4 linked regions of the Arabidopsis thaliana genome follow. Each later gene encodes a partner of the first gene's protein in a complex. Each region holds a gene or a part of one and is shown on either strand. Other genes may lie near its edges.

Region 1 (5,286 bases):
TTGTATCCAATAAAGTGACCACTTTTGCTGCTCTTGAATCCAATTCCGTGACTGAGCTTGTTTTATTTTTGATTCCTTGTCTTGTTCTGAAGCTGCGTGAAGAAAACAAGCTAACCAATTCACAAGTGATGGTTACTGCAGGTGCCAATCAGGTATAACCTGTCTTTGTTTACTCTTTTGATTGCTCTTCCTTCTGTTTTCTTCTACTCTCATACTCTGTTTCTGTTTTTGCATCTAATGTAGGCGTTTGTGAACCTTGTTATTACATTATGTGATGCTGGTGATTCGGTTGTCATGTTTGAGCCATACTACTTCAACTCCTACATGGCCTTTCAGATGACAGGAGTCACCAACATAATTGTTGGTCCTGGCCAGTCAGACACTCTCTATCCTGACGCTGGTACCTCCTTGATTCTGTATCACGTTTTTCATGACTTAACATAGCTTTAGTTGTGACCAGTGAATCATTTTTGTTCCAGACTGGTTAGAGAGGACACTGTCTGAGTCTAAACCGACTCCGAAAGTTGTAACTGTTGTGAATCCTGGTAACCCAAGTGGCACCTATGTCCCTGAACCGCTGCTTAAGAGGATTGCTCAAATATGCAAAGATGCAGGGTGCTGGCTGATTGTAGATAACACATACGAGTGAGTTTCTCATTTCCTTAATTCCTATGATGTCCAAATTGAATGTAGTAATAAGCGGGGATTTGAAAATCGCAGGTATTTCATGTATGACGGTTTAAAACATTGTTGCGTTGAGGGAGACCACATTGTTAATGTCTTCTCTTTCTCTAAAACCTATGGCATGATGGGTTGGAGGCTTGGATATGTGAGTGCTCGATTCAATTCTATTCCAAACTAAACACTGGGATTGTCTTATAAAAAGGTTTGATGGACCTGCAGATAGCTTACTCAGAGAGATTAGATGGGTTTGCAACAGAGCTTGTGAAAATTCAGGACAACATCCCAATCTGTGCTGCCATAATCTCGCAGCGACTGGCTGTATACGCATTAGAGGAAGGTTCTGGGTGGATAACGGAACGGGTAAAGAGTCTAGTGAAGAACAGGGATATTGTGAAAGAGGCGCTTGAGCCGCTGGGGAAGGAGAACGTTAAGGGAGGAGAAGGAGCGATATACCTGTGGGCAAAACTGCCAGAGGGACACAGAGATGATTTCAAGGTGGTGCGGTGGCTGGCTCACCGCCATGGTGTGGTGGTGATCCCGGGGTGTGCAAGTGGTAGCCCCGGGTATCTCCGGGTTTCCTTTGGAGGGTTGCAGGAGGTTGAAATGAGAGCTGCAGCGGCGAGGCTGAGGAAAGGAATAGAGGAGCTGCTTCACCATGGAATGGTGGAGTGAGACGTTGTTTAAAGAAGGGTCAAAAGATGGTTACTTTGCGTTTGGTTGAAGCTATATAGTTGTTTTAAAAAGAAATAAAAGAGTGTTTGTTTATTCAATAATCAATATAGCTGATTCTTCTTTACAAAGTCATTGTATTTGGGATGTTGTTACCAATGGTTGAATCCTTAACCCCTTTGGTGTATGTATATACTCTTTACTTATTCAAATGAATAATCCAGCAATGAATGCAAAAGCAAAAACTGGATCAGCTTTATTCGTTATGAGTCTTTCTCTAAATTCAAAAATTTAAATTCGAGTCTTATGATTGACGTTATGACTTGTGAGAAATTGATAATCTGGCCTTTTATTTGAAATTTTAATTTCTGAACCCAGAGGATAAATAAAGTTAAAATCGATGATGATTTTAGGCTTTATTGGTTTGAAAGTGGGCCGTAGATGGGCCCGAATCTAAAATATTTGAATCGAACCCGAATAAAGAAAGAGAGGTTGGATCATAACTACCATCGACGTGGCTTCCATCTTCTTCTACTTTGTCTTCCATCTTCGCCGACGAGTCACATCTCCGAAATCCGGAGCCGGAGAGGGAGAAAGAAGGAGAATTTGGGTTCTCCGAGATCGAAGCTCTTGCCTCGGAACCCTTGATTTTGTTTTGGAATAGGCTATTTTTTTAGTAAAAGAGGAAATGGTGGGAAGTAGTAATTCGTTAGCGGGTCTACAAGACCACTTGAAATTAGCGAGAGAATATGCACTAGAAGGATCCTATGACACATCTGTCATCTTCTTCGATGGCGCCATTGCTCAGATCAACAAGTAAGTAGCTCCTCTTATCTCTCCAGTCTTGAATCTAGCTTTTTTGTCACCCCTTTTGGCAATTTCTTCAAGCCCTAAGCTACTTTAATAGTTTCGTGTTGGATTGTATTGAAATGGGCTTAGAAAAATCTAGAATTTTGCAATGTTCACCGTGCAATGTCTGTGTAGACAGAGATAGAACACTCTTATGTGCTGCGTTAGTGGTTCTGAAGCTATGGTATACTGTTTTAGGCATTTAAACACCCTTGACGATCCTTTGGCCCGGACCAAATGGATGAACGTTAAAAAGGCCATAATGGAAGAGACGGAAGTTGTGAAGCAATTGGATGCAGAGAGGAGAGCATTTAAAGAAGCTCCCACTGGGCGTCGCGCTGCTTCTCCACCTATCAATACCAAATCATCCTTTGTTTTTCAGCCCTTGGATGAGTATCCAACTTCATCCGGTGGTGGTCCTATGGATGATCCTGATGTGTGGAGGCCTCCTACCCGTGATGTTACTAGTCGAAGACCCGCCAGGGCTGGTCAAACTGGTACTAGAAAATCACCTCAAGATGGGGCTTGGGCTCGTGGCCCTACTACACGGACCGGTCCAGCTTCCCGTGGTGGCAGAGGTGGGGCTACTAGTAAGTCAACTGCAGGTGCCCGCTCTTCCACTGCCGGAAAGAAGGGAGCTGCCTCAAAATCTAACAAGGCTGAGTCTATGGTAAGTTATATGTTTTTGCCTTTTGGTATTGCACAATAGAGAAGGTTAAACTTGAAAATTTTCCATCAATCAATATTGACTATGGCATTTCCATTTCCATTACTTTACTTTGGTGATAGACAGGATGTCATGAAACTTCGAAGTTGTTATGTTATAGTAGGACTGATGTATCAAAGATCATGATTTCTGTTACGTTTATGAATGTCTAATTCTGAAATCTGTATTTAGAAACTTTAGAGTCATGGCCATGTTTCCTGTGGTTATGTTGAGTCGGTAGTTTCCACCTATTTTCAACAACTAATAAAACTTTCGGCTTCCTCGTTGATATCAGAATGGTGATGCTGAAGATGGGAAGTCAAAAAGGGGATTGTATGAGGGACCTGATGAGGACCTGGCTGCTATGCTTGAAAGGGATGTGTTGGACTCAACTCCTGGTGTCCGTTGGGATGATGTTGCAGGTTTGTCTGAAGCCAAAAGGCTGCTTGAGGAGGCAGTTGTCCTTCCTTTATGGATGCCCGAATACTTTCAGGTACTTTGATTCTGCTCCATACGCTGTGAAATTTGGATTCTATATTACTATTATTAGACATGGAGCAATCATACAGAATAACAGTTTCAATTCATCATTTCCGTAGACTTTATATTTGATCTTCCAGGTATAGAGGATACTTAATTTGATTGTTTTTGTTTCCCTTCAGGGTATTCGAAGACCATGGAAAGGAGTTCTCATGTTTGGTCCTCCTGGGACAGGTAAAACCCTGTTGGCAAAAGCTGTTGCAACTGAGTGTGGTACCACCTTCTTCAATGTATCTTCTGCTACATTAGCTTCAAAATGGCGTGGAGAGAGTGAGCGCATGGTCAGATGCCTGTTTGATCTGGCTAGGGCATATGCTCCAAGCACAATTTTTATTGATGAGATCGACTCTCTCTGCAATTCTCGGGGGTAAATTTTCCTGACGATACTGAGATTTCGATACTGAAATGAAAAGTATTTGTAATTGGTGGAGGTGTGATGCAGGGGTTCTGGAGAGCATGAATCATCAAGAAGGGTGAAATCGGAACTCCTAGTTCAAGTAGATGGAGTGAGCAATACAGCGACAAATGAAGATGGTAGTCGCAAAATAGTAATGGTATTGGCAGCTACCAACTTCCCGTGGGACATAGATGAAGCTCTCAGGTTTAAATATTCTTTGAGTTAATGCCGTCTTTAGACTTGCTCTAATATAATGAAATTGCTGATTCTGGAGCTCACGTTGGTGCAGGAGGAGGTTGGAAAAACGTATATATATCCCACTTCCAGATTTTGAAAGTCGTAAGGCTCTTATCAATATCAATCTGAGAACAGTTGAGGTTAGTTGTGGATACATTGTTACAACACTCGCAAATCTCTCTACTGGTCCAACGCAATCAATTTAGCAATGAACATTGTCACTTTTCAGGTGGCGAGTGATGTTAACATTGAAGATGTGGCCCGGAGAACGGAAGGGTACAGTGGAGACGATCTGACTAACGTGTGCAGGGACGCATCAATGAACGGGATGCGGCGTAAGATAGCGGGGAAAACGAGAGATGAGATAAAGAACATGTCGAAAGACGATATATCAAATGATCCAGTGGCAATGTGTGATTTCGAAGAGGCCATTAGGAAAGTGCAACCGAGTGTGTCTTCCTCTGATATCGAGAAACACGAGAAGTGGCTCTCTGAGTTTGGATCTGCTTAATTAAACCCACTTTTTTTAATTTAGTGTCAAAAGATGTGTGCCTTTTCTTGTGTGTTGTTGTTTATTGTATCATTATTATTATTTGCCAGTCATTTAACATATTCTTATGTTTCTATATTCCAAACTTGTAAACCTCTACGAAAAAAGAAAAGGATTATATGATTTTCTTCGGTTTTTTGGCTTCAGACTTAGTGTTCATAATTTCTTTACTGTCTTAGAAGAAAAAAACCAGCAAAGAATCACCTTGGTCTTTGTATCTCCAATACGTTGCAATCATTTTGAAAGTATTTGTATATTTTGTAAATGATAGGGATTGAAACATCATCCTATCGTTGACCAAAAATTTCACTGCGTGCTATATAAAATACTATATATGTTACCCTTTAACTGATGAAAATGTAAAGAGACAAGGCAGCACCGTTTATCATCAGACCAGTTTCGAGAGTGTTCCTGCATCGTTGGGCTCCCTCCTCAATTTTGTCTACGTGATTATATATCATATCGTCTACAAACAAAATAAATACAATTCTATCATATGAATATGTGATCATCGATGATCGATCAATATATGTTTTCGAGGTGACGTATATAGTATATTTCCGTAGAGACGGCGAAGAACATGATATCTCTGCATGCCTCCAATCAAATCTTTACACTTCATCCTTCTTCGTTACTTGTTCAGTTGTTCCTTTC
Region 2 (7,658 bases), 7.6 Mb from region 1:
ATTTTGTCAACCGTGATTGAAGAGTGTTTAAGACCTCACTATGAGTTCGCATTAAAATCTCCCAAATGTCACCATCATCCTCTCTCCCAGATATCTGAGGCTCTTCCTTCTACAAAAGCCAAACAAATCAAATACTTGTTATGTATTCAGAGCTCTTCCAACTTTGTAATCCTAGCAATTTCATATTTTCTGTATAGCATCAGCGACTATATTCAATTATACAACAAACTACATTTCGAAGTTGGAGAAAGTACGCTGTCTATTAGTTTCCAAAACTTATTAATTGAAGCTTACCTGGGTCAAGATATCAGAAGATTGTTGAGTTTTTGTAGTCTCATCCAGTGTCATATCAGTCACCTGATCAAATACTGCAGGTGTTGCCAGCGTTTGAGTTGGACTAAATCTTTGCCTGGATCTTATATGAGATGCATCAGCTGTCACATTTGTTGCTTGATTAAGTTTCACAGGAATTACACGGGCGGGAGAGTTCCTAGCTGATCGTGTTAATGCAACTGGAGGCTCATACGATGGCATATTATCTGCTTGATTGAGTTTCATAGGCATTATACGGGCAGGAGAAGTTCTAGCCGATCGTGAAGATGATAAAGGACGCTCATCATACGTGGTAGATGCTTGATTGAGTATCACAGGCATTACTCGTGCCGAAGAGGTCCTAAGTGGTCTTGTTGATATTACAGGAGGCTCATCAGATTTCATGTTAGTTGTTTGACGCTGATTTAGTATCACAGGCGTAACTGGGGCTGGAGAAGTCTTTGCTTGTCGTGTTGATGTTACAGGAGACTCATCAGATGTCAAATTAGTAGCTGAAGGCCTATCAGGCCGTGTTGATGTTATAGGAGGCTCATCAGATTTTATTTTTGTTTTCTGATTGAGTTTCATTGGCATGACCGGTGCTGGAGAAGTCCTAGTTTGTCGTGATGATATTACACCAGACACATCAGATGTCAAATCAGTAGCCGAAGTCCTATCAGGCCATGTTGATGTTATAGAAGGCTCATCAGATTTCATTTTTGTTGTCTGATTGAGTATCATTGGCATGACGGGGGCTGGAGAAGTCCTAGTTTGTCGTTTTGATGTTACACCAGACACATCAGATGTCAAATTAGTAGCTGAAGTCCTATCAGGTCGGGTTGATGTTACAGGAGGCGTATCAGTTGCCATGCTAGTGTCCCGACCGAGTACTACAGGCATTACTCTGACTGGAGTACTCTTAGTTCGTCGTGTTGATAACACAGGAACGTCAACTGTGGTCGAGTTAGTTGCCTGATCAAGTTTAACTGGCATTACCTGGGTAGGCATCATGCTAACTGTCTGTACCGATGCTGTCAGGGGCTCTTCCTCTACAGAATTAGAGCTATGAACTACTGTTGCACTGGCTGCTTTATCTTCAGAATGAGTAATTTTTTCTCCTCTTTCAAACCTCTCAACCAATGACCGTGTCCTTCCCGAAACAACTTTTACTGCAAACACAGCAGTTTTTAAAGAATCAATAACCAGATGACGCATATCCTACCAAAGAAAAACAAAGACAGCAAACTTTGAATGGCTAACCTCCTCTAACAACCTTCACAGATTTTGATTCTTTGCTACCTCCAGGGGATTCAAGGCCTGCATGACAAAATATTCATAACCAATTATAAAATGATTGCTGCCTGAAGACCGAGACTCTTGACCACAACTGACAAGAAAACTGTTAAGGAAGCCCTAAAAGTAGCTAAAGATTTAGATGTAGAAACCTACAAGCTAATGCTATTACTTTTCTGCCGGCTCATTTTTCCAGATTGATTTTTCTTGTAGACGGTCTTTAATTTAATACCTCTTCTTAATTAACAGTTTTAAAAGGTGAAAGGAAGCCAAACACATAACGTTTCACTAGTTTTAACATTGGCTTTAGAAGCAAAAATCCCCATTAATTAGTCTACGCCACTTTTGAATCAGGAACTTACTTTTTAGTTCATCACCAGCTTTTTCTGGTGACAGAACTCTTTCTGACCTACTTGAAATGCTCTTGTTCTCGATATCTTCCTCACATGGGTTACTACCTCTGTCATCCCTGAGCCCTGTTGGCAAGTCCATGTCTCTTGAGGACTCTAACCCATTCTTTTTACTGTCTAAAGCTCCAGAATCAGTAGATGTCGCCCATCTTGCCTCATTGTACTTAGTACTTGGTGATCTCTGTACACGAGGCGGTTTCAGCAGCATACCTAAGTCAAAGATTGCAAGATTTCCAAAAGGATAGGATTAGATCATCTGAACGCTCAAATCTAATGAAACTAAGGTATGAACTGGGAGAACCTACATTTTGCTTCATCAGTCGGTGATTCTGGTAATAAAGCTTGTTCAAACTTGTTGGTGATACTCTTGATGATAGAATCGTCGGCATCATATGGGTTCCTACCACTCATTTCTGAATCAAACGCCGTCTCAGTATCTAGTTTCTTCTCACCATCCAATCCACTTTTCTTTAGATATCCAACAGCCACTGACTGCTTCTTTGTTTCATCAAACTTTGTTGGCGTCTTTCTTACATAAGCCGGTCTCAACAGCATGCCTGGCTTTGTTTTTGAGAAAGTGATAGATTCCTTTCCTGAATCAGAAGAGTCTTTCCCAATATCACTATCCCGTGGAACAACACTATGCACTACTAAAGACTTATTATCCCCTGCTTGTCCAGTAGAAGTTGCTGGAGTACTTAGAGATCCTGACTTATGTGCAACAGCCGAATTTCCGCCTGTAGCTTTGAAGAGAAGAGAGAATATTAAACCAAATATAAACGATAAGCATACAGAAGTGAGAGACAAATGAAATTTACACTGTCGCAAAACAGAAACTGACATTAAAGACTAAAAATAACAGTCCAGGTCACACAGTGGTTATGGCTAGCGATATTTAATTTATTCAGAAACGACGACCACCATTTCAGTCTCATTCAATTTCAATAGGTACAAAATTTAGGAATATACACCAACACATGCACGGAAAATATATGATTAGAGCAGGCCTAAAGATAAGGTAGCTTTCCTATCACTAATACAAGAAAACCAGAGTCAGTGATCTCTGCTAATAGTCCATTGCAACTAATCGTTAAATGTTGATTCACTTTCTAGATATAGGTGGTTGAGAGTAATAAGTAAGCTACCGCCCAGGGACTTCTCAAAACCTAACCAAAAACCTGCCATATCCTACTCTAAAACGAGAAACTTCAATAAGTTCAAGGTAGAAAACTGAATCTACAAACATCGAACAAAATTAACATTCACTCACAGTCGATGTATATGTTTTTGATCTCTTTCGTCTCATAATCTGGAGATGAGCTGCGCCTTGGGGTACTCTTTATTCTATCGAAGGACTGATCATCCAGAGCACTGAGTATTTTCTCCACGCACTCTTTTTTATCCGCAGATCCAATGCCGTATGGCTCAATCTGCTGTGTTAATTAAGGATAAAAGAAAAAACAAAAACATGAGCCTTCAAAACACTTATTTACCAGCTCGGACATAAATTTTTAGAGGAAAATCACAATAGCTGACATACTGATATATCTGAGACCCAAATCCCTACTGAATTTTGGTAGTATGAACAACCCAGGAGCTTTCCTTCGCTGATGCATAAGTCACCAAGCGTTGACCATCCCATATCAACACCATCATGGCAAACCACAGGTTCCCATGAATAAACCTGAATTATGAACATCAGCTTATGATATCAATGTTTTTGACTCTGGAGAACCCTTTATATGGTAAAGCTCATCACAAAGAAAATCAAAACCTTTAAGCTGTCATCCAAACCACAAAATAAGGTTCGCCCATCCGGATGAAATTTGATTGAACGAACTCCAGTAGCCTGTGAAAACAAGGAAAACCACATACCACATAAATTGTGTGAATAACATCTTCCGAGACGGCTACAAAGCTAGCTCAACGCCAAAACATATTTCATCACATGCTGCTTTCTGGACTCCGTTCACTTTTATTTACTTCTAAATCTTTTTAAGAACTAAATTTTATCTTGGCATTTCTCTAACACACTCTTCAGATCAAGGCCGAGAATAAGCAGATTTCTGATATTTTTTATGTGTGAGATTTCCCTTCAAGGTGATCACGCTAACAGGAAATAAACGTAAAAAACACTTGTTATAGAGTCCCCTAGAAAACAGTATCTAGTGACACCACAGGCTAGTACCTCTGGTCGGGTAGATCCAATCAATTCAAACGTTTCCAAATCCCAGAACTTTACAGTCCTGTCAGCAGAACCTGAATATGAATAGGGAGAGTGTGAAATCACAAGAATTCAATATAAAACTGTGATTAAGGAAATGTCAGTAGTTAATCTACCAATCGAAAACGACACCAAGTTACCCCTATAATGCCTGAAAAACAAAGAATCACAGACTAACCTGTGGCTAGGAGGAACTCAAGCGGGTGGAAGTCTAGCGAACGGATAGGTCCTTCATGAAACTTAAATTCATGCAAAAGCTTTCCAGCAGTCAAATCCCATACCTATTGGATACAACATATATAGCAGTATCGTTCTAAGATCATAAGTTTGAAAAATATGATGCACAAGCTTCATTTGTTGAAAATGCTGTTCTTACCTTTACAACATTGTCAAGTCCTCCGGAGACTACCCAACGACCATCGGGAGTAAACCTGATAGTGCTGATGCCACGAGAATGACCCTTGTACGTCTGTATGCATCCCTTCTTCCTGATGTCCCAAATCTTTAGATTCGCGTCACTAGATCCCGATGCCAAAAATTCACCAAAGGGATGAAATTCAACAGCAGAACAATTGGATCTATGTCCAGTAAAAGCTCGAACCACTACACTTCAAGAGCAAGAGTGAAAATGTTAGACCTCATAATTCTAAACTAAAAGTCTGGTACACTGCTCAAATAACCAAACCCATAATCCACATAGCCGATAACTCAAATGATATCCAATATATTCCCATTAAACAACACTAGCTCAACATAAAAGAAGCAACAAATATTCTAAAACAAAGGAGAGCAGAAAATCAATAAACTAACTCTTTGCTTCTTCAACATCCCACAGCTTTATCACACCCGAAGAAGCTCCAGCAAGTACCAAAACTTCAGCGGAGTCAAAAGCTACTGAATCCACTGCACTAGTATGTCCACACAGACTCTGCCAATAAAAGGCTATAGCATCATTCTTCTATCCATAATAAAACACAAATTTTCTGTCAAAGACATACTGAAGAAAGCAAATGTGAAACAAACCATTAAAGAAGTAGGCTTGCCAATCGCCCAAAGATTGACTTTGTAATCATCACCACCAGTTATAAAGAGCCGTGATGTCTTCTTTCCGATACTTAGACAATTCACATTTGCAGAATGTGCCAAAAACTCCTCTAAGTTTCCAAAATCAAGTTAAGTTATAAACAAACCCACAGAGAATAACATATCAACAAAAATAAATTCAAAGCATATCCAGAAAAAAAAAATTGGAGAAGACAAACATATTAATTGCAGTGTCTTTTTCTATCAATTTGCTCTCAGTTTAATTAAGCAAACAATAATAGAAACATTTTGACCAAATTGACGAAGAGCTAATAAACCAAAGCTTGTTTATGAAATAAACCCCAAGCGATTCAGTGATAAAGAAACTGTTAAAATTTCTCAAAATCGTCAATATAAGGATACGTAGCTTATAACCACGCTTCGCCATTTTTTAACTCGATTTTCCAGCGAATCCGTGAGGGGGAAATAGAAATTTGAATCTGGAATCGAATCTGTAGCTTCCGGAATCGATTTAAAACGGTGAATCGGAGCTACAAAAATCCGAATTGTCACTAAACGACAGAGGTCGAGATTTTAGGGAGATTTCAAAGGGAGGGATATGAGAAGAGATCGCTTTCCGTTGAGATTTGAAATCCAAAAAACGTGAGAGAGAATCAGATTCGGGGAAGAAGATTGAAAGAAACGAGACGAAATCAGATTCAAATAGTGACACGAAGCAGAATTAAGAAAGAAACAGAGAAGAAGAAGAAGAAATTTTGATAAAGCGAAGAAAGTTTTTTTTTTTTTTAATCGGTCGGTAGGTTTTTTAATTTTTTAAAAAATTTAAAAATATAATTAAGCATTTTTCTTGGACAGTGGACCTCTAGTTTCTTCGTTGTTCGTTCTTCTCGGTTCTGACGAAAACACCCTTTTGTCCGGGCATTGAATTCGAGTGGAAATTACGAAAAGAACCCTTGCTTCCAATTGACTTCTATTGGTACAGTTTTTTTCTCCAACTCCATCATAATTTGTTAGTTTTCTTTTGTCGAAAATATTATTTGATTGGTGAGGCAACACGTCATCATCTCTTGGTTTTGTTTGTTTCTTGAAGACATTTTCAACCTTAGGAATGAATTATAGTAATTTCAATCCATAGATGTATGATGGATGCTAACTGACGTTAAAAAAAGAAGAAGATTATGATGATAATTGTGTGTTTTTTTTTTTGACGAAATGGAATTATATTGAGCTTGAATAATTCAATTTCAACTGTTGTTCAAGACAAAGTAGCGGTTTAGCTACATCAATGTAGGAACTGGAATTCAAACAACCAAATTTTGCTAGTTTATGAGCCGTTTCATTACATCGACAACATTTCATATTCAGACAAATCAGTTTTTATTTTTTTATTATTTAACTTCTTGTGCCAATAGATAACATCTTGGTGTATAAAGATGTGTTAAGTAAAAAAAAAAAGATGCGTGAGTAGAACCAATAACCGGATCATGAAGTAAAATGATTTTAAGAAGAGGAAAAATGTCGTTTTATACGCGAACTTTCAAAAAGTGGTCATTTAATACGTGAACTTTTTGTGTGGCTAAATAAAACATAATAAAAACGTTGACCGATCATTTCACACAAATGTTATTGTTGACCAGGCCAAAATCCCCATGCCGTTATCTTTCATTAATGGATATGTTAGTTCCGTTAACACACGTTAATTAATTTCCGTTAATACTCAAAACGACGTCGTTTCATTGAAAAAAAAGAATCAATATTCCCAAATTGATTTCAAAATCCCTAAATTCCAAAATGGAATCCAATTCGTTTTTCTTCAATCCATCTGCTTCACATGGCAACAACATGTTCTTCTTTAGGAATCTCAATCCCGTTGTCCAAGGTTCTTTTCTCACTCTCATAATCTTATTTTACCATGTTGGAAGTTTCCCTGTTTTTGTTTTGTTTTGTTGTCTTGTGAATAAAATATGATGAACACACACACATGAGAACCAATTTGAATATGAATAACAACATTGACTATTGACAGCAGTTGTTCGTTTGAATTTATGAAGGAGGAGGAACAAGATCGATGATGAACAAGGAGGAAACATCAAAGCGAAGGCCTTTCTTTAGCTCCCTTGAGGATCCCTACGACGATGACTATTACGACGACCACTTGCTGAAAATAAGAGGCTGTTAGGGATTTGGTTTTTAGAATTTAAGGATTTGGTTTTTGGAATTTAGGAATTAAGGAATTAAGGATTTTTTGGAATTTAGGGATTTTGAAATCAATTTGGGAATTTTGATTCTTTTATTTTAATGAAACGACGTCGTTTTGAGTATTAATGGAAACTAATTAACGTGTGTTAACGGAACTAACAGATCCGTTAATGAAA
Region 3 (7,849 bases), about 26 Mb from region 1:
TATTTACTTTTATTGGTGAATGAGAATCAGCGTAGCAAACTAAATGAGATTCCAGAGAGTGGTGTTAGCTCAAATACCTTTCATTTGCATGAAGATCAACGCCGACAATCCGTGGAGCTGAAACAGTTGAGCGTATAACTGTACCGAACACTGCTACAAGCTTCAAGAGCATATCCAAGGAGACATTTACCGGCCTGCACAGTCGTTACTCTCATTTAGAAACCAAGTCATGAAATCGTTATAGCTCAGAAGCAAAAAAATATGGTCTAAGGTGGAAATTTGGTATGATATGTTTACCTCTCTGTCCTGCTACCCAATAAGCTTGTGAGGACAGGGACCAATTGAGAAAACATATCCAATGTGAGAATTTCTATTTTTTCAGTTAGAATACTGATCACATCTGCTTGAACCTGTCCCAACATCTATGAGTTAGCTTATCTAAACATACAAACATCAAAAACAAAAGTAATCTACCGAGAATCTGAGATACCCACAGACTGATCTGTCAGTTTTCTTAATGCCCCAATTGCGCCTTTAACATCGCTACGCTCCCAAAAATGTCTTACAATCTGCATGTTTAGAAGTCAACCACTTGCAAACTAATACTAAAACAAATAATGGTCAGGGAAAAGAACAGAAAAGAAGCAAGAATGCTTACTTGTAACTTTGTCAACCTCGATTGAAGAGTGCTTAAGAACTCGTTATGGGTTAGCATAAGATTTTCAGTTATGTCACTATCATCTTCCCTATCAGATATATTCGGCTCTTCCTTCTGCACAAAGCCACAAACCAAACAATCAATTACGTTTGTCATGTATACAGTACTCTTTCAAAGTAAAAAATAAGTTGCCTAGGCTAATCATTGCAAAGTACCTGAGGCATGTTATCGCAAGCTGGTTGAATTTGTGTTGCATGTGTCTCATCCAATGTCATATCAGCCACTTGATCAATCACAGTGGGTGTAGCCAACATTTGTGTTGGACTAACTCGGTGCATGGATGCTATATGAGATGTATCAGATGTCATGTTAACAGATTGATTTAGTTTCGTGGGCATTACACGGGCTGGAGAAGTCCTTAATGGACGTACTGATGTTACAGGACACTCATGAGATGTTGCCTGACTGAGTAACACAGGCCTTACTCGTGCTGCAGAATTCCTGCGTTGGCGCCTTAATGTTACAGAAGCCTCCTCAGATGTAATATTTGTCGCCTGATTGAATGTCACAGGCAATATACGGGCATGAGAAGTTCTAGATTCTTGTGTTAACGCTACAGAAGGCTCATCATATGTGACATTAGAAGCTTGATTGAGTATCACAGGCATCACTGGAAATGAAGAAGTCCTAGCTGGTTGTGTTAAAGGAGGCTCATCAGATGTCACGTTACTATCCCGATTGAGAACAATAGGCATCACTCTGGCTGGAGTACTCCTAGCTCGTCGTGTTGATATGACAGGAGTTTCACCTGTCTGTCTTGATGTCTTACGCGGATCTTCCTGCACTGCATTATTGTTCTGTTCTATTGTTGTACTGGCTCCTTCAGTATGAGTAGTTTTTTCTCCTCTCTCAAACTTCTCAACTAAGGAGCGTGTCCTCCCCGAGACAACATTTACTGTAAACATATCAATTTATAAGGAAACTGTAGCCAGCCAACTTAAATGCTAAGAAGAAAAAACAGAAACAGCAAAAGTTTTAAATTCCTAACCTCCTTCAACAATCTTCACAGGGTTCAATTCTCTGCTGCCGCTAGGGTACTCAGTGTCTACAGAACAGAAATTTTATACCGGTCAATTACTAATTGATCATTGTCTCAAAACCAAGTACGTGAACCACAGACTACGGATGATGAAGAATTCGAAGCAAGTTCTAACAGTAGCTAAAGATTTAGATAGTAGCAATCTATAGTAACTAGATATAGTCTAGTAGCTCTTCCTAATAGATGTCTTTTGGCATCGTGGGCTGTCTTTTTGTTCACTCATATTTGACACAAAGCCAGTCACATTAAGGTTGCATAAGATTTGGCGTTTGCTTTAATAGAAAAAATGGCCATATATTAGTCAGTTTTAATTTTTGAATCAAGAACTTACTTTTCTGTTCATCGCCAGGTTTTTCTCGTGAAAGAACTCTTTCAGTTTTGCTGGGAATATCCTCTACGTCTCCTGAGTTCTCCATCCCACCTTTGCCAAAAGTTGCCGGATCAGCAGACATTGCTCGTCTTGTGTCATTGTACTTGCTATTTGATGACCTATGGATACGAGGTGGTTTAAGGAACATACCTGAGGCAAGGTTGCAGAGATATTCAAAAGATAGATTAAAATATCTGAAAGCTACATGAAACTAAAGTCTGAGAACAGGGAACCTACGATTCGCTTCATCAGTTGGTGGTTCCGATGATAAAGCTTTTTCAAACTTGTTAGTAATACCCTTGATGATAGAATCTTCAGCATCAAAAGGTTTACTAGCATTCTGTTCTGAAAGAAACGCGTTTTGAGTTTGTGGTTCCTCCTCAACAGCCAATCCGCTTTTCTTTCGAGTTGCAGATTGAACAACCGCTGACTGTTTTGATTCTTCAAACTTTGCTAGCGTCTTTCTTACATGTGCTGGTCTTAGCAACATGCCCGATTTCGTTCTTGAGAAAGGGATAGATTCCCTTTCTGAATAAGAAGATTCCTCTCCACTATCACTATCCCGCGATGTACTAGAATACTTGTCTCCTGCTGGTCCAAAATATGCTGCATTCTGCTTCTCGCTCACCATAGTAGCTACTTTTCCTGATTCCAAAGGCAATGTCGCTTTCAGAGATCCTGGATTTTGCGCTACATTCAAATTTCCACCTGTGGCTTTAAACAAAGAGAGTTCAAATCAGACCAAACATAAGGAATTAGCCCACATAAGTGAATGACATAGAAATATTATGTTGATCTGGCCAAGAAACAGACATCAAAGCCAAAAAATCACATGTCAGCTCCCCCAACTATTGTCTAAAGACTACTTTGTTCCATACAATAACGAATACTGCGATTTGCATTTTGGACTCATTCATTTCAATTCCTACAAAATTTTTAAGTATAAACAAAAGAGTTCACAGCACTATATTGTGACAACATGCTTAAAGTCTAGATACCTTTTTGTGTTGCTGATCACAAGAGTTCCTACTACAGTTGCAATGGTTTACATTAAAAACACTTCTGACTAAGTCAAAAACCATTTCAAGCATTCATCCAGGTGCCAAGATAGCAACTAGATAACCTCTTACATCACAGGTCATTTATACTGACAGATGAAGGCCTAGCATATATCTGCCATACCACACTTGCAAAGCAAATGAACATAAAAACATAATTAACATTCACTCACAGTCGACGTATATGTTCTTTATCTCTCTTGTCTCATAATCTGGGGATACGCTGCCCCTTGGGCCACTTCCCATTCTCTCAGACTGATCATTCAAGACACTAAATCTTTTCACCATGCATTCATTCTTATCCTCAGATACTGCTCCATATGGCTCAAGTTCCTGAGAAACAAACACGAACTTAATACAAGTTTAAGTTTTTCACATGAGGTATGGACATTCACATTCGGTTACATACCGATATATCTGAAACCCATATCCCAACAGAATTTCGGTAATATGAGCAACCAATAAACTTTCCTTCGTTGATGCAGAAGTCACCAAGTGTTGACCATCCCATATCAACACCGTCCCGGCAAATCACTGGTTCCCATGAATAAACCTGCATTATGTGCATGAACTTATAATATCAGTGTTTGACTCTGGACATCATCTAAGTTGTATAGTTGAGCACAAAGACAATCAGAACCTTCAAGCCATCATCCAATCCACAGAAAAGGGTTTGACCATCTGGATGAAAAGCGATTGCACGAACTCCAGTAGCCTGGAAAACAAAGGACACCACATGCCAGGAAGAAGGTTGACAATAGTGCAAGTAAAACTAAGTCTTATCTTATGGACTATAAAGTGAATCCAACGCTAAACAGGACAGATTAATAACAAAACACAAGCTCAGGTACCTCTGGTCTAGTAGTTCCAATCAGTTCAAACGTTTCCAAATCCCAGAATTTCACAGTCCTGTCAGCAGAACCTGAATTACGAAAGGGTGGTATATGAAGTCAGAAGACCTCAAAACAAACCTAGTGGATGCAAAACAGTAATTTATCAACTAAAAGAAAGCTGCTACCAATTCAGCCCTAAAACACATGAAAAGAAAAGCTAAAAACTCACCAGTGGCTAAGAGAAACTCCAGCGGATGGAAGTCTAGGGAGCGAATAGGTCCTTCATGACACTTAAACTCATGCAATAGCTTTCCAGCAGTCAAATCCCATACCTATTGAGTACAATAAAGAGTACATTGTTATAAGAACAATCATTAAGGAACAAAACAATGCACTTGTCGTTACTGCTGTTCTTACCTTTACAACGTTGTCAAGTCCTCCAGACACTACCCAACGACCATCAGGGCTAAATTCAATAGTGCTGATGCCGCGAGTATGACCCTTGTATGTTTGGATGCATCCCTTCTTTCTGGTATCCCAAACCCTTAGATTGGTGTCACTAGATCCCGATGCAAGAAATTCACCAAATGGATGAAACTCAACAGCAGAACAATTGGATCTGTGTCCAGTAAAAGCTCGAACCACTACACTTCAAGAGCAAGAGTGAAAATATTAGACCTCATTATCTGAAACTAACCATCCATCACAGGACTTATAATTCGTCCAGACAATAACAAGTGTGAGTGCCTCTAATATAATCTAGGGATAATATATGAGAAGAGAAAATTAATCAGCTTACTCTTTGATTCTTCTAGATCCCACAGCTTTATCACACCTGAAGAAGCCCCAGCGAGTACCAAAACTTCTTCTGAGTTAAAAGCTACTGAATCAACCGGGCTTGTATGCCCACAAAGACTCTGCCAACAACACATAAAATAAAATATCATCACTCTTCTATGAAGAGAAACAAGATGTTACATGCTTTATACCAAGAGGGACCACAATTTTGACATTTTCATACACATTAGCTGAAATAACTGTAGTTATAGCTATAAGTGGCAAATCTTGAAACCAGATAAGAAATTGCAAATGAAGACCAGCGAGAATGAACAAATTAAAAAAAGAGAGAAATGTGAAAGAGACCATTGGAGAAGTGGTTTTGCCGATTGACCAAAGGTTGACCTTATAATCATCTCCACCTGTTAGAAGGAGCCGTGACGTCTTCTTTCCGATACTTAGACAATTCACATTTCCAGAATGTGCCACAAACTCCTCTAATTTTCCAAATCCAAGTCAAGAAAAATTCATATCCAGAACGAAAGAAAAAGTCAAGACAAACAGAGATAACAATGTCTCTTCTATCATCTGAACTCGGTTTGGTTTTTAAGATGACAGAGGCAGAAATTAGAACCCAGAAGAACATTTTCATGAAAAATCTCAAATAACAATTTACCAACAAAAAAAAGAACATAAACCCCACCAATGCAGATAAACCCTAACGCTACAGTGAATGAACAACATCAAATTTCTAAAGTTAGGGGTGAAAATAAATCAAATATGTAGCTAAAGTTTGTATCTTTTGTTATTCAGGTTACAAGTTTCCAATAATATAGCACCAATGAAGAACTATAAAAGGATACGTAGCTTATATCCACGCTTCGCCATTTTCTACTCGATTTCAGTAGATTCATGCGACTAGGAAGCTGAAGCCAAATCACCAGCCTTTGTTATGAATCGAAAAGAATTAAAAACAAAAAAATGTCGGAGCTGGTTTAAAAATTCAAAATGTGACTAGACGACAAGACAGAGTTGAAGATTTCTGGGAGATTCGGAAAATAGAAACTTGAGACATAAGAGATTGCTTCCTGCTGAGATTAGAGATTTAAAGAAGAACTTAGAAAGAAAAGAAGAGATTTTTTGAAAGAGTGGCACGAGCAGACGAACAAAACAGAGACGAAGATAAAAAAAAGTAAAGCGACGAATTTTTCGTCCTTTTTCTCAGATTCTGTCATTTTCAATTCTTTATTAAAAAAAAAAACACATTTCCGGTTGTTATGTTTTATTTTATTTTGTTTATTTATGTCATTGATGATGAGAATAATACACACACAAATCGTTGAAAACTTCAGAATATTGGACCCTCGTCGTTACTTTTTCTGACGAAAATACCCTTCCTTTTCTACTACACGTATAAATCAACCTAAATATAAATATAGCACTCACAAGTCACAACTAACGGATTACAAATTTAAAATATTGTTTTGTTTTTTTATTGTCGGTTTTAAAATATTGTTTTTATCATGATTGAGTAACAGGAAAGGAAAAAAAAAAAACAAAGTTAAAAAGTACTATGTTCAGTTTGACGAAAAAGAAAAATAACAAGTATTACTGGTTAATCGCAATACGTTTTAACACTTTTTTTAAGATGTCAATCACACAACTTGATTGAAATAAATAAAATACTCGTCAACTAATTCCATTTTAATATAACCAACTCAACGGCCTGAATTAATATTGAATTTTATACCACATTGAATTTTTCGTATAACCAATAATACACGGATACAATCTACTACAACTAGATCATACTAAATGACTAATTAACTACCACTTCTTGATTCTAAAAAAAAAGACAATGAAAATTTCAAAGTTTGGTTGTGGCCTTGTGGGTAGATTAATTGATCTGAAAGAAGAGGTTGATTGAAGTTTGATTTAACAACTGTTAATCACGTTTTGAATATTTGTGTTTGAGTGTTTTTGTTCCTACGACACATGTATTTGCGTTTAAACGTTCAATACAATGTTCACACTTTTTTGGTCAACTGTTTTCTCACTTCCAAAATGTAATCATATAGTAGTAAGATATTTTTTTTTCACATTATAAAAACCCAAAAAGATAATCACGGAATCAAGGTTTGTAAAAGTTATATTTGGTGAAGATCTCCTGGTTTATGATATGTGACATTTGCTTGTATTGTATTAAATTGTTTTTTTATAGTTATAAATTATTACTCTAGTTCCCGTGTTATAATTTGTCTCTCTTTTGGACAAGAGCATAACATGATCTAAGTGCTTCCCATGTTTTGGTGTTTTAAGTTTTCTTGCATAATAAGGGTCAATCCCAATCAACGACTTTATTTGGTGAAGTAAAAAGAAGATCATTTATTTCGATAAGAAATGTTTGTTACTTCCACAGATTGATTGACATAAAATCTGAAATCAACTCAAACGTACTTTATGAATATTGAAAAGTACAATTTTATTATGTGATATAGTAAAATAGTTTTAGATTGTTTTTTGCTTTCATTATTTAGTAGTCACTAACTTCTTGTTTTGGCTAGTATTCATGTATAATCCCAATACTGTATATATTTTAAGAAAAGCTCTTCTCGTCTCTTCCAAACACGTCAAAATCAGTAGGTAGATTTGTTTAGATATGAGAGATTAAACTTTGAAAATAAGAAACTTTTCTCCGAGACAAAGGACGTTGGTAAAATGAAGCTAGAGACTTTGTTAGGGGATCATATTTTAGCAGACCGCGGGAATAGCGATGTGAGAGCAAAATTGTCTTGTTCTTGCATAACGCCACAGGTGTGGATGGATTAACCAAATCCTGCTCGTCCCAGTAAAATTCATCACGAAACTGAGTCCGGGAAGAAGAACATGAAAGCAAATCTATAGTACAAATCTTCTCCCATGAGTCTTCTGATGATTTCAACCTCCAAATCTCTTGGACCAACGTATTCGGTTCTCTTTTCGACATGCACAAACCATTATCCAGAGTGCACATGTCAATATGCATCGGATCTGAACCAGCAATAGCCGGTTTGA
Region 4 (7,587 bases), on another chromosome or scaffold:
TGGTTAGCTTGGTAGAGTTAGGCTTTAGTACTGTTAAACTCCACATTGGAACCAAATCCACATCCAAAAAGTATCACGATGAAACTTCTTGAAATGTTAAGTTGAGTTCATGGAGAGTCTTGGCCACCAAATTTCCTCTTCTACATATCCATAAAGAGATATATATATATATATAAGACATAAGATAATAGACTTCAAAAAAAGAGAGAAGATAACCATCTAACTCTTCATTGTCCAGTAGATGAAATTTACCCACCTTGCTAAAGAGGGAAGGCAAGCCTTGATTTTCTCGAACTCGACAAAGCAACAACTGTACCGCTCCATCCTGAATAGCAAAAATCATATTTGACTTGCCAAAGAGAGTAAATTGCAATCGAAAACGACAATGAATGGTGAGATTGAAGCTCGGACCAACCTTTGCTCAGCCTCAATATCTACACCAACAGATGAGGGAGCGGAAAGCGACGAGTAAATTTGTGACCCATACATTCTTACCAGCTTAAGCAGCAAATCAAGGCAGACACTCAAATGACTAGAGACATGAAACGGTAATTAGAAATCGAAAACAAAATACTACAGAGACGGTAATTATAAAACAAAAACAAAATACTACAGATTCATAGTTTAATAGATAACCATGTCATTATGTTCTTCAAAATGACTTGCTTACCTATCCATGTTGCTCCCTAGAAGAGCTGTCAAAAGGGGGAGAAGAGAGGTACAGGTATCCAGTGTCAAAATCTCAGGTCTCTCGTTTACTATAAGTAGTACATCCGCAATTACCTGTACCAAATGAAATAATGAGAAGTGGAAAATGTTTACGTGGTGTTTTTATATACATGGATTTGAAAGGAAACAAACAGAAGTTGCTTACAGCATTATCAGCCATCTTCTCTATTGAACTTATCGAGTTTTTAATATCATTTCTTTCCCAATATCTACGGACGACCTGCAAATTTGGTGACATTATTTAGAAGATAAACAATGTTTATGGAAACCTATGAAGGATTACTGCTAGCATTCTAATTAGGAAACAGACCAAAAGCATTATCATAGTGTACTTTCATGCTGTTACCTGTAACTTAGCCAAACGAGAGTGCATAGAGCTGACAAATTGATCGTGTTGCCCCATTATGTCTGCAACTATATCTTCTTCGCTAGCTGAAGTGATTCCTTGATCAACTGGCACATGATTTCCTCTCTGCTTGAGCTGTATGAAAGGAAGTAATGTCATCAGTATCTCTGTAGTAACTGGGAAATTTTATGTCTGCCAATACGCTGAAGATGCAGGCCCAGTTGAAATTGAGTTCTAATGAAAAGGATCTGACATCTGACTAATTACTCGTCACTCTTTATTTTGTCCTTCCTCATTCTTCGTTTTTACAGTTTCTATTTTATAGTCTCAGATCCCAAATTAAAAAGAAAACTAAAATTAAAAGCCATTACCATATTGGAAGGGCGACTGTTTGGTGCAGTCATATTTCCACCAGAAGAACTCGAAACAGGACCCTCAAAGTTAGAAAATCTTCCTCTTCTTTCCCTATTTAGAACGAGGGAATGCAGTCTTCCTAGTATGTCAAGGCACACAATTAGAATCTTTTCTTACGCACATTAAAAGGGAAAAACAAAAGAAAAAACGAATGTTGGGAAAGAGTTACCTCCTTTTCGGCTTTCAGTAGGACTTGAATCTCTATTTGCATTATAGCTAATCAAGTCAGCTGGAATAAAGAGTTAGTTAGCCCAGAACTGAGAACAGCATCCAGAAAACTCAGACACATCTATCTATAATATTGAAGGACCAACTAAACAAAAAGTTGTTTTACTGAAACAAATTGTACTACAAGCAACATGTATACTTAAAGACTGATTCCTAGGATCTCATAAATATAAACCCAAGTCCCTCAGAAACTTAGAAAAGTGTTCTCCAGATTTAAGATGCCACGATGTCTTAGCAATACGAAATGCCATTTATATTTGCTCTAAAACAAAGGAAGACTAGAAAGGCTTGTAAACATACAGTTTTCGTCGTGATTTCTCGGAGGTGATCTCACCAGTGATCTTGAATTAAACCTTCCAAATACCCTGCATTTGCTCTCTTTATTTGTTCTCTCAGCTGTATCCCAGGAGCCACCTTCGTCACTAGGATATGTATTCCCATCTTGTAAAGTGATTGGTTCTATAGGTTGAGACTGAGACCTTTCAAGAAGCGAACTGGTTGGTAGATCTGGCTCATTTCTGCTGCTCGACAGCCTTCGAGAATCAGCGGCCTTTGACTGCAGCGAATATGGCATAGTTCTTCCGATAATGTCAAGTTCTGCTCTGGATTCAGATGCCTGCTCAATTATTGGCTCCGTTCTGGGGACGATTACTGGAAAATAATCCTCTTTATTGACTACTGGAGGATTCGCCTTTGGGTTAGCTTTTCCAAAATTTCTCTTTGAGGCTGCAGCATTAGGGACAACTGTAGAAATACCAGAAGCACTTTTTGGAGCACTGGTCAAAGTAACCCTGTGAGGAGAGTCTGATACACTTCCTGTGGCTTCAACAAACAGCAGACAAACCAAAAGATGTGATATCATTTAGTAAGCAGCAAAATTATAACAAAAAAGTGAAAAGAGAAAGAAAAAATAGAGCAAAGTAAAAACATACATGACAGGGTTCTTGACTCTTTTACTGTGTCTGAGCTGTGAGTAGCTGAAAACCTTCCGAGAGGCTTTGGTTCCTTTACCAAAGGATCTGAACTTTGAGATACTGATGACCTTCCAGTAGACTTTGTATCTTTTGGCAACGGATCCGAGTTTTGAGAAACTGATAATTTTCCAAGAGACTTTGTTTCCTTCAATAAAGGATCCACTTTCTGGGAACCAGGCAACTTTCCGAGAATAACCTTTGAGCTGTTATCGTTCAGACCTGCTTGATCTCTGCCTGAGCCTGATGTTTTCTCTGGATGAGAATTTGACTGAGTGGCGCCTCCACTCATAGGCTCAGTGCGCTGAGAGTGTCATTAGAAAATTGAATGGAGAGCTTAGAGATAACAAGTATGGTACAGGCCAAACTATAACAAAGCATGTAGGGGGAGAGAGAGAGAGATATACCGAGAGGTCTACAACCCAAACGCCTACACAATTTTGATTGTATGAGCAACCGAGAAGCTTTCCCTCGTGAACATTCATATCCGACAAGTTTGACCATCCAACATCCACTCCATCATGACATCTTATTGGCTCCCATGAGAAAATCTACAATTTGCATGGAAGTTAGAGAAGAAAGGATAGCAAACATGTATATTCAGATTAAAAGGAGTAAGTGTAAGTGTTATATCCTTAAAAGAGGAATTTGTTAAGTTCATATATTTCTAACTGGGACATCCTGAAGAACTTACTTTAAGACTTTCTTGCAATCCACAAAGCACACTCTTTCCATCTGGATTAAAGGTTAGGCAACGGACCCCAGTAGTCTAAGAAATGAAAATATTAGAAAGTTGAATTAAAGATCGAATACTTATAATTCGACTCAATGCATAAATAGAAGCAGTACAGACAACACATGATACCTCAGTTCCACCAGAACCAATAAGCTCGAATGTTTCAAGGTCCCAGAATTTTACAGTCTTATCAGCTGAACCTAAGACCATAGGCAGAAACAAACATAATTCAAATGAACAGTAAGGAAAACAATGCCATAAGAAGAAATATCCACTACTGAAGTCTCTCTCCTGTCAAATCCTAACACTTAACATATGAGAAAGCTGTAAAATTGTGAGTTACAAAGAGACGATGATGCTACAGTGATCTAATGATGTCAGGGTTAGTTACAACATGTAATTTTGCTTATAGCACTCTTAACTTTAAGAATAAATCGGGTTCATATCATTGTGATAAATCTATGTCACCCGAAAAACTAGGAGCTTCAATGTTACGAAGTTTCCCTACTTAGAGTTATACAGACCTGTTGCCAGCAGAAATTCATGGGGATGAAAATCTAGACTCTGAATTTTCCCTTCATGACTCTTAAACTCATGCAAAAGTTTTCCAGCAGTCAAATCCCACACCTGGTGAAGGCAACCCACATATCAGTCCAACGTTAAGAGAGAGAGCAAAATTTGCAGGTTACTTGCTTTTCAGGAAAACAATTACGGTAAACAGTACAAACTCTGAGATGAAACAAAGAATAACGAGTATCCAAGTTGATCAGGTAGTATGAGCGTATTTTAGCACTAAGAAAAATTCTCCCCCTAGGATAGTAAGGTCAGCCGCATAGAGGTATCATTAAAGTAAACAATCACATGTTCTCATCCACACATAAAGAGCCTACTCTGAGATATTTGTTCAAGACTTTGACTACCATCTCTCAGAACCAGTTTATGCCTATTTCACAAAATGTGGTATTGTTCTTCAAAGTATCCTCGAAAAAATAGAAATTTTGAATTCTATTAAGTTGACTCCCTAGTTTTCCTCCCCAATACATACTAAGAAAGGAAAAAGGCAGCTACAAACCTTGACAACATTATCTTCTCCTCCAGATACAATCCAACGACCATCTGGAGTGAATCTGAGTACGTTGACCCCTCTAGTGTGACCCTTGTAAGTATGGATGCAGCCCTTCTTTCTTATATCCCATATCTTGAGATTTGTGTCTAGAGAACCAGAAGCAAAAAACTCACCAAAAGGGTGAAAATTCACGGATACGCAGTTTGACCTGTGACCAGTGAGAGTTCTGACAACTACCCAAAGATGCAACCAAAATAACATACTCAGTAAATATACGAGCCGGCTGTGGCTGACTAAACAGAGAATGAGAAGAGTAAATTTAGATGCTCATAGAGCTACTGAACTTACCCTTTGCTTCCTCCAGATCCCAAAGTTTAATTGTACCACTAGCAGCTCCTGCTGCTACTAAGCCTTCCGAAGCATCAAATGTTACTGAATCAATCCCGCTAGAGTGCCCATACAAGCTCTGACCACAAAACAACCACAAGTACTCAGACAGAAAATATTCCAACCCGCTCAACTACATTATATCTAAAGTATGTCGCATTTCCCCTAAACTATATACCGAGGCATTCCGCAATAGAAGCAGGGGAGGGAGAAATGAGAACTAACCAGGATGGCGTTGGGCTTACCAATAGCCCATAGATTAACCTTGTGATCTTCTCCGCCTGTAACGAGAACCCTGGAGGACTTCCTCCCAATCTTAAGACAATTAACAGCAGCAGAATGTGCCACAAATTCCTCTTATAAAATGTATCACATAAGTCAAGGCTAAGCAATACTCTGGGATGAGACTCTAGTCAAAGAAGAAATTGACTAAAAGTTTATAAATTTAGAAGCACACAGATACCGAAATGTCATAAATGACTTGAAAAAACTCAAAACACAAAGCTACGAAGTGCATACAGATCTCGTGAACCAGAGCAAAAAGCAGCAGATCAAGCACGACACTGGAGTCAATCAATAAGTCCCAGAAATAAACAAACCCTAAAAGATGAAATCAGAGAGAAAAGGATACGGAGCTTGTAGGCGCGCTTGGTGTTCATAGCGGAAACGAAACCCTTACATCGGCGACCATCCAAATTCTTCTACTCACGAACAGACAAAAACCTCGAAAAATCTCAGCTACTGCAAAAGCACCTTAAGATCTCAGCTTGTCAACAGCAATTTGCAATCTGAAATCTCGAATAGATCAGTAACAACGAAATGGGGAACCAATCCATACGAAGAGGTGAAGAAACTATAGCATACCAGCAACACCCAGAAAGCCAATCTCAGCACAGAAACCAAATTTAGATCGATTGGAAAAGAATGCAGATTGAGGAACAGTATCTTGGAGTAAACGTCGTTGTTTCCTTTACGAAGAAGATAAAAATGGAGTTGTTGGATGAGTTATACTTATATATATATTTGAAAGTGTGTTTTCTCTCCTCTAATGGTGAAGAAGAGAGGAGGGAGATGTGAATGACACACAGACACACACAAGGAAGCAGAGAGAGAAAGGGAGCTGCTTTATTATTTTACTTACCTCTTCTTCTCTTTCAAATTTCCAAACTCATTTTTTCAAAAAAAAAATCATTTATTTTGGCAAAAACGTAACATTTCTAATCTACCGAGTTCAAACAGACCAAACTAAAGTAAAAGTTGATTCCTGAAAATTGTTAGAACTATATTTGATTCAGTTATAAATTCAAACTAAAAACATACCAATCTAAATTATACTTTATCCTAATTGAAATTCTTGTCGGTGCTCTAGTGCAATTATTAATAGGTGATTGTCGTAAAGAAGAACGATAACCGGTTTGTTTTGGTTTCCTAATCGGTTTAGGTTTTGTAAATTGAATTTTGTTCCGATTAAATTTCCTGACAACATATACGAGATTTTATAAGAGGATATGTAGAATGTAGCATACCCTTTAAACTATGCATTACAAATTCTCTGTTGTCCTTTTTTTTGTGTGTGTGTTTCTTCTAAACACAAACGTTTTCTTGCTTTTTAGGTGATAATATGGTTTGGTGACTTGGTTTAGGAGACCTACGTCTTCAAAGACGGAGGAACTTGATGAGATTAATGACACTCATGAGGAGAAAGAAGATGACTAGCTACGATTTGAAGATAATGATAACAAAGAAGATATTTTGGATCCCTGTTAACAAATTATGATCTTCCTTAGGTCCTACTCTTAGTTGGTTGAAGTTCTTGTATTGTAATGGGTTGTAAATTTAAACCTTTGTTTGTCTAGGTAGTGTTGTTTTGTACTTAATGCATATTGTTCAGTACTTACTTTTATTAAGGAAGCTTCTGTTTTTCATATATCCAATTCTGTTCAAATGGATTTTAAGCATTAATTAGATCCATTGTTTCGTTCTGTCTCAACTTTTTTCTCTCATATGTGCATTCGATGTAATGTATGATTGCATGTAGGTGTAGTTTTTGTCTTTTAACTCTTTAGTAAGCAAAGAATCAGGTTTTCTATATTCAGAATAACCGAGTTTACACGTCAGGGTGATTGGCTCATTTGAATTGCACATTCAAGATGCATATTACTTCAACACACATGTATATATAGACTACTTTTTTGTTCATGACTGCTTGGAGTATTTGCATTCATTAGCGTGCAATCAAATAATCGAATGTCCAGCTTTAATGGCAGACTTACTCATCTTTCGGGATTAAATTCACATAGTAGTATATAATAAGGTAACTAATTAATGCAATGATTATTTTAAAACATAATAGTATTTGTGTTTACAAGAAGAGAAAAGGTAAACACATAATTAAAGCAAAAGGGTCCGATCGATACAAAGGATTAATGGACCATGGGAAAGAGCATTTGGAATTAAAATATTGAACAAATGATTTAAGGTTAACTAGTTTTTAAAGAAAACTTGGAAAACACAGCGCAGAGAGGGATGAAACTAATGAATTAGCCGATGTAGATGTGAATCTTGAGTGCGAGAAGGAAGACGCAAACAAGGGAGAAGTAGAGAAGAGAATGGACGATAACGGAGACAGCGCTTGTCTGAAAATTACCAAACTCAACGTACTTTTGTCGTCCCGGCAACTGAAACAGAAGCCCTGGCGTAAGCATCACGA

What was found.
Region 2: ERH3 (region 1) and DWA3 share a complex: the UniProt entries of both Arabidopsis thaliana proteins name them as parts of the KTN80-KTN1 complex.
Region 3: ERH3 (region 1) and AT1G11160 share a complex: the UniProt entries of both Arabidopsis thaliana proteins name them as parts of the KTN80-KTN1 complex.
Region 4: ERH3 (region 1) and AT5G08390 share a complex: the UniProt entries of both Arabidopsis thaliana proteins name them as parts of the KTN80-KTN1 complex.

What each region holds. Positions count from the first base shown.
Region 1 is NC_003070.9:30,204,806-30,210,091, reverse strand, and holds ERH3 (P-loop containing nucleoside triphosphate hydrolases superfamily protein), read left to right. Parts: upstream 1-1,823; 5' UTR 1,824-2,041; coding exon 2,042-2,169; intron 2,170-2,400; coding exon 2,401-2,872; intron 2,873-3,203; coding exon 3,204-3,401; intron 3,402-3,570; coding exon 3,571-3,815; intron 3,816-3,890; coding exon 3,891-4,049; intron 4,050-4,134; coding exon 4,135-4,222; intron 4,223-4,311; coding exon 4,312-4,593; 3' UTR 4,594-4,778; downstream 4,779-5,286. Other genes in the region: AT1G80360 (Pyridoxal phosphate (PLP)-dependent transferases superfamily protein), read left to right, coding at 93-152, 244-400, 480-645, 721-829, 904-1,356. UniProt on the Arabidopsis thaliana protein: Severs microtubules in vitro in an ATP-dependent manner. Required for oligomerization of functional KTN80-KTN1 complexes that catalyze microtubule severing. This activity may promote rapid reorganization of cellular microtubule arrays.
Region 2 is NC_003070.9:22,562,837-22,570,494, reverse strand, and holds the start of DWA3 (Transducin/WD40 repeat-like superfamily protein), read right to left. Parts: upstream 6,001-7,658; 5' UTR 5,711-6,000; coding exon 5,686-5,710; intron 5,394-5,685; coding exon 5,263-5,393; intron 5,168-5,262; coding exon 5,050-5,167; intron 4,843-5,049; coding exon 4,616-4,842; intron 4,521-4,615; coding exon 4,418-4,520; intron 4,275-4,417; coding exon 4,204-4,274; intron 3,865-4,203; coding exon 3,790-3,864; intron 3,700-3,789; coding exon 3,556-3,699; intron 3,449-3,555; coding exon 3,286-3,448; intron 2,759-3,285; coding exon 2,321-2,758; intron 2,226-2,320; coding exon 1,968-2,225; intron 1,630-1,967; coding exon 1,573-1,629; intron 1,482-1,572; coding exon 295-1,481; intron 110-294; coding exon 1-109. Other genes in the region: AT1G61200 (homeobox-leucine zipper protein-like protein), read left to right, coding at 7,075-7,162, 7,335-7,462. UniProt on the Arabidopsis thaliana protein: May participate in a complex which severs microtubules in an ATP-dependent manner. Microtubule severing may promote rapid reorganization of cellular microtubule arrays.
Region 3 is NC_003070.9:3,731,240-3,739,088, reverse strand, and holds the start of AT1G11160 (Transducin/WD40 repeat-like superfamily protein), read right to left. Parts: upstream 6,006-7,849; 5' UTR 5,684-6,005; coding exon 5,659-5,683; intron 5,293-5,658; coding exon 5,162-5,292; exon of another isoform or gene 4,966-5,161; coding exon of another isoform or gene 4,936-4,965; coding exon 4,818-4,935; intron 4,663-4,817; coding exon 4,436-4,662; intron 4,351-4,435; coding exon 4,248-4,350; intron 4,108-4,247; coding exon 4,037-4,107; intron 3,901-4,036; coding exon 3,826-3,900; intron 3,739-3,825; coding exon 3,595-3,738; intron 3,519-3,594; coding exon 3,359-3,518; intron 2,842-3,358; coding exon 2,365-2,841; intron 2,278-2,364; coding exon 2,089-2,277; intron 1,764-2,088; coding exon 1,707-1,763; intron 1,614-1,706; coding exon 874-1,613; intron 773-873; coding exon 659-772; intron 570-658; coding exon 495-569; intron 411-494; coding exon 298-410; intron 195-297; coding exon 78-194; intron 1-77. UniProt on the Arabidopsis thaliana protein: May participate in a complex which severs microtubules in an ATP-dependent manner. Microtubule severing may promote rapid reorganization of cellular microtubule arrays.
Region 4 is NC_003076.8:2,699,397-2,706,983, reverse strand, and holds the start of AT5G08390 (Transducin/WD40 repeat-like superfamily protein), read right to left. Parts: upstream 6,026-7,587; 5' UTR 5,742-6,025; intron 5,666-5,741; 5' UTR 5,537-5,665; coding exon 5,509-5,536; intron 5,234-5,508; coding exon 5,103-5,233; intron 4,957-5,102; coding exon 4,839-4,956; intron 4,724-4,838; coding exon 4,497-4,723; intron 4,052-4,496; coding exon 3,949-4,051; intron 3,625-3,948; coding exon 3,554-3,624; intron 3,458-3,553; coding exon 3,383-3,457; intron 3,240-3,382; coding exon 3,096-3,239; intron 2,993-3,095; coding exon 2,650-2,992; intron 2,540-2,649; coding exon 2,018-2,539; intron 1,719-2,017; coding exon 1,659-1,718; intron 1,569-1,658; coding exon 1,447-1,568; intron 1,211-1,446; coding exon 1,076-1,210; intron 950-1,075; coding exon 875-949; intron 784-874; coding exon 671-783; intron 533-670; coding exon 416-532; exon of another isoform or gene 326-415; coding exon 257-325; exon of another isoform or gene 141-256; coding exon 74-140; 3' UTR 1-73. Other genes in the region: AT5G08391 (transmembrane protein, putative (DUF 3339)), read right to left, coding at 7,418-7,587. UniProt on the Arabidopsis thaliana protein: May participate in a complex which severs microtubules in an ATP-dependent manner. Microtubule severing may promote rapid reorganization of cellular microtubule arrays.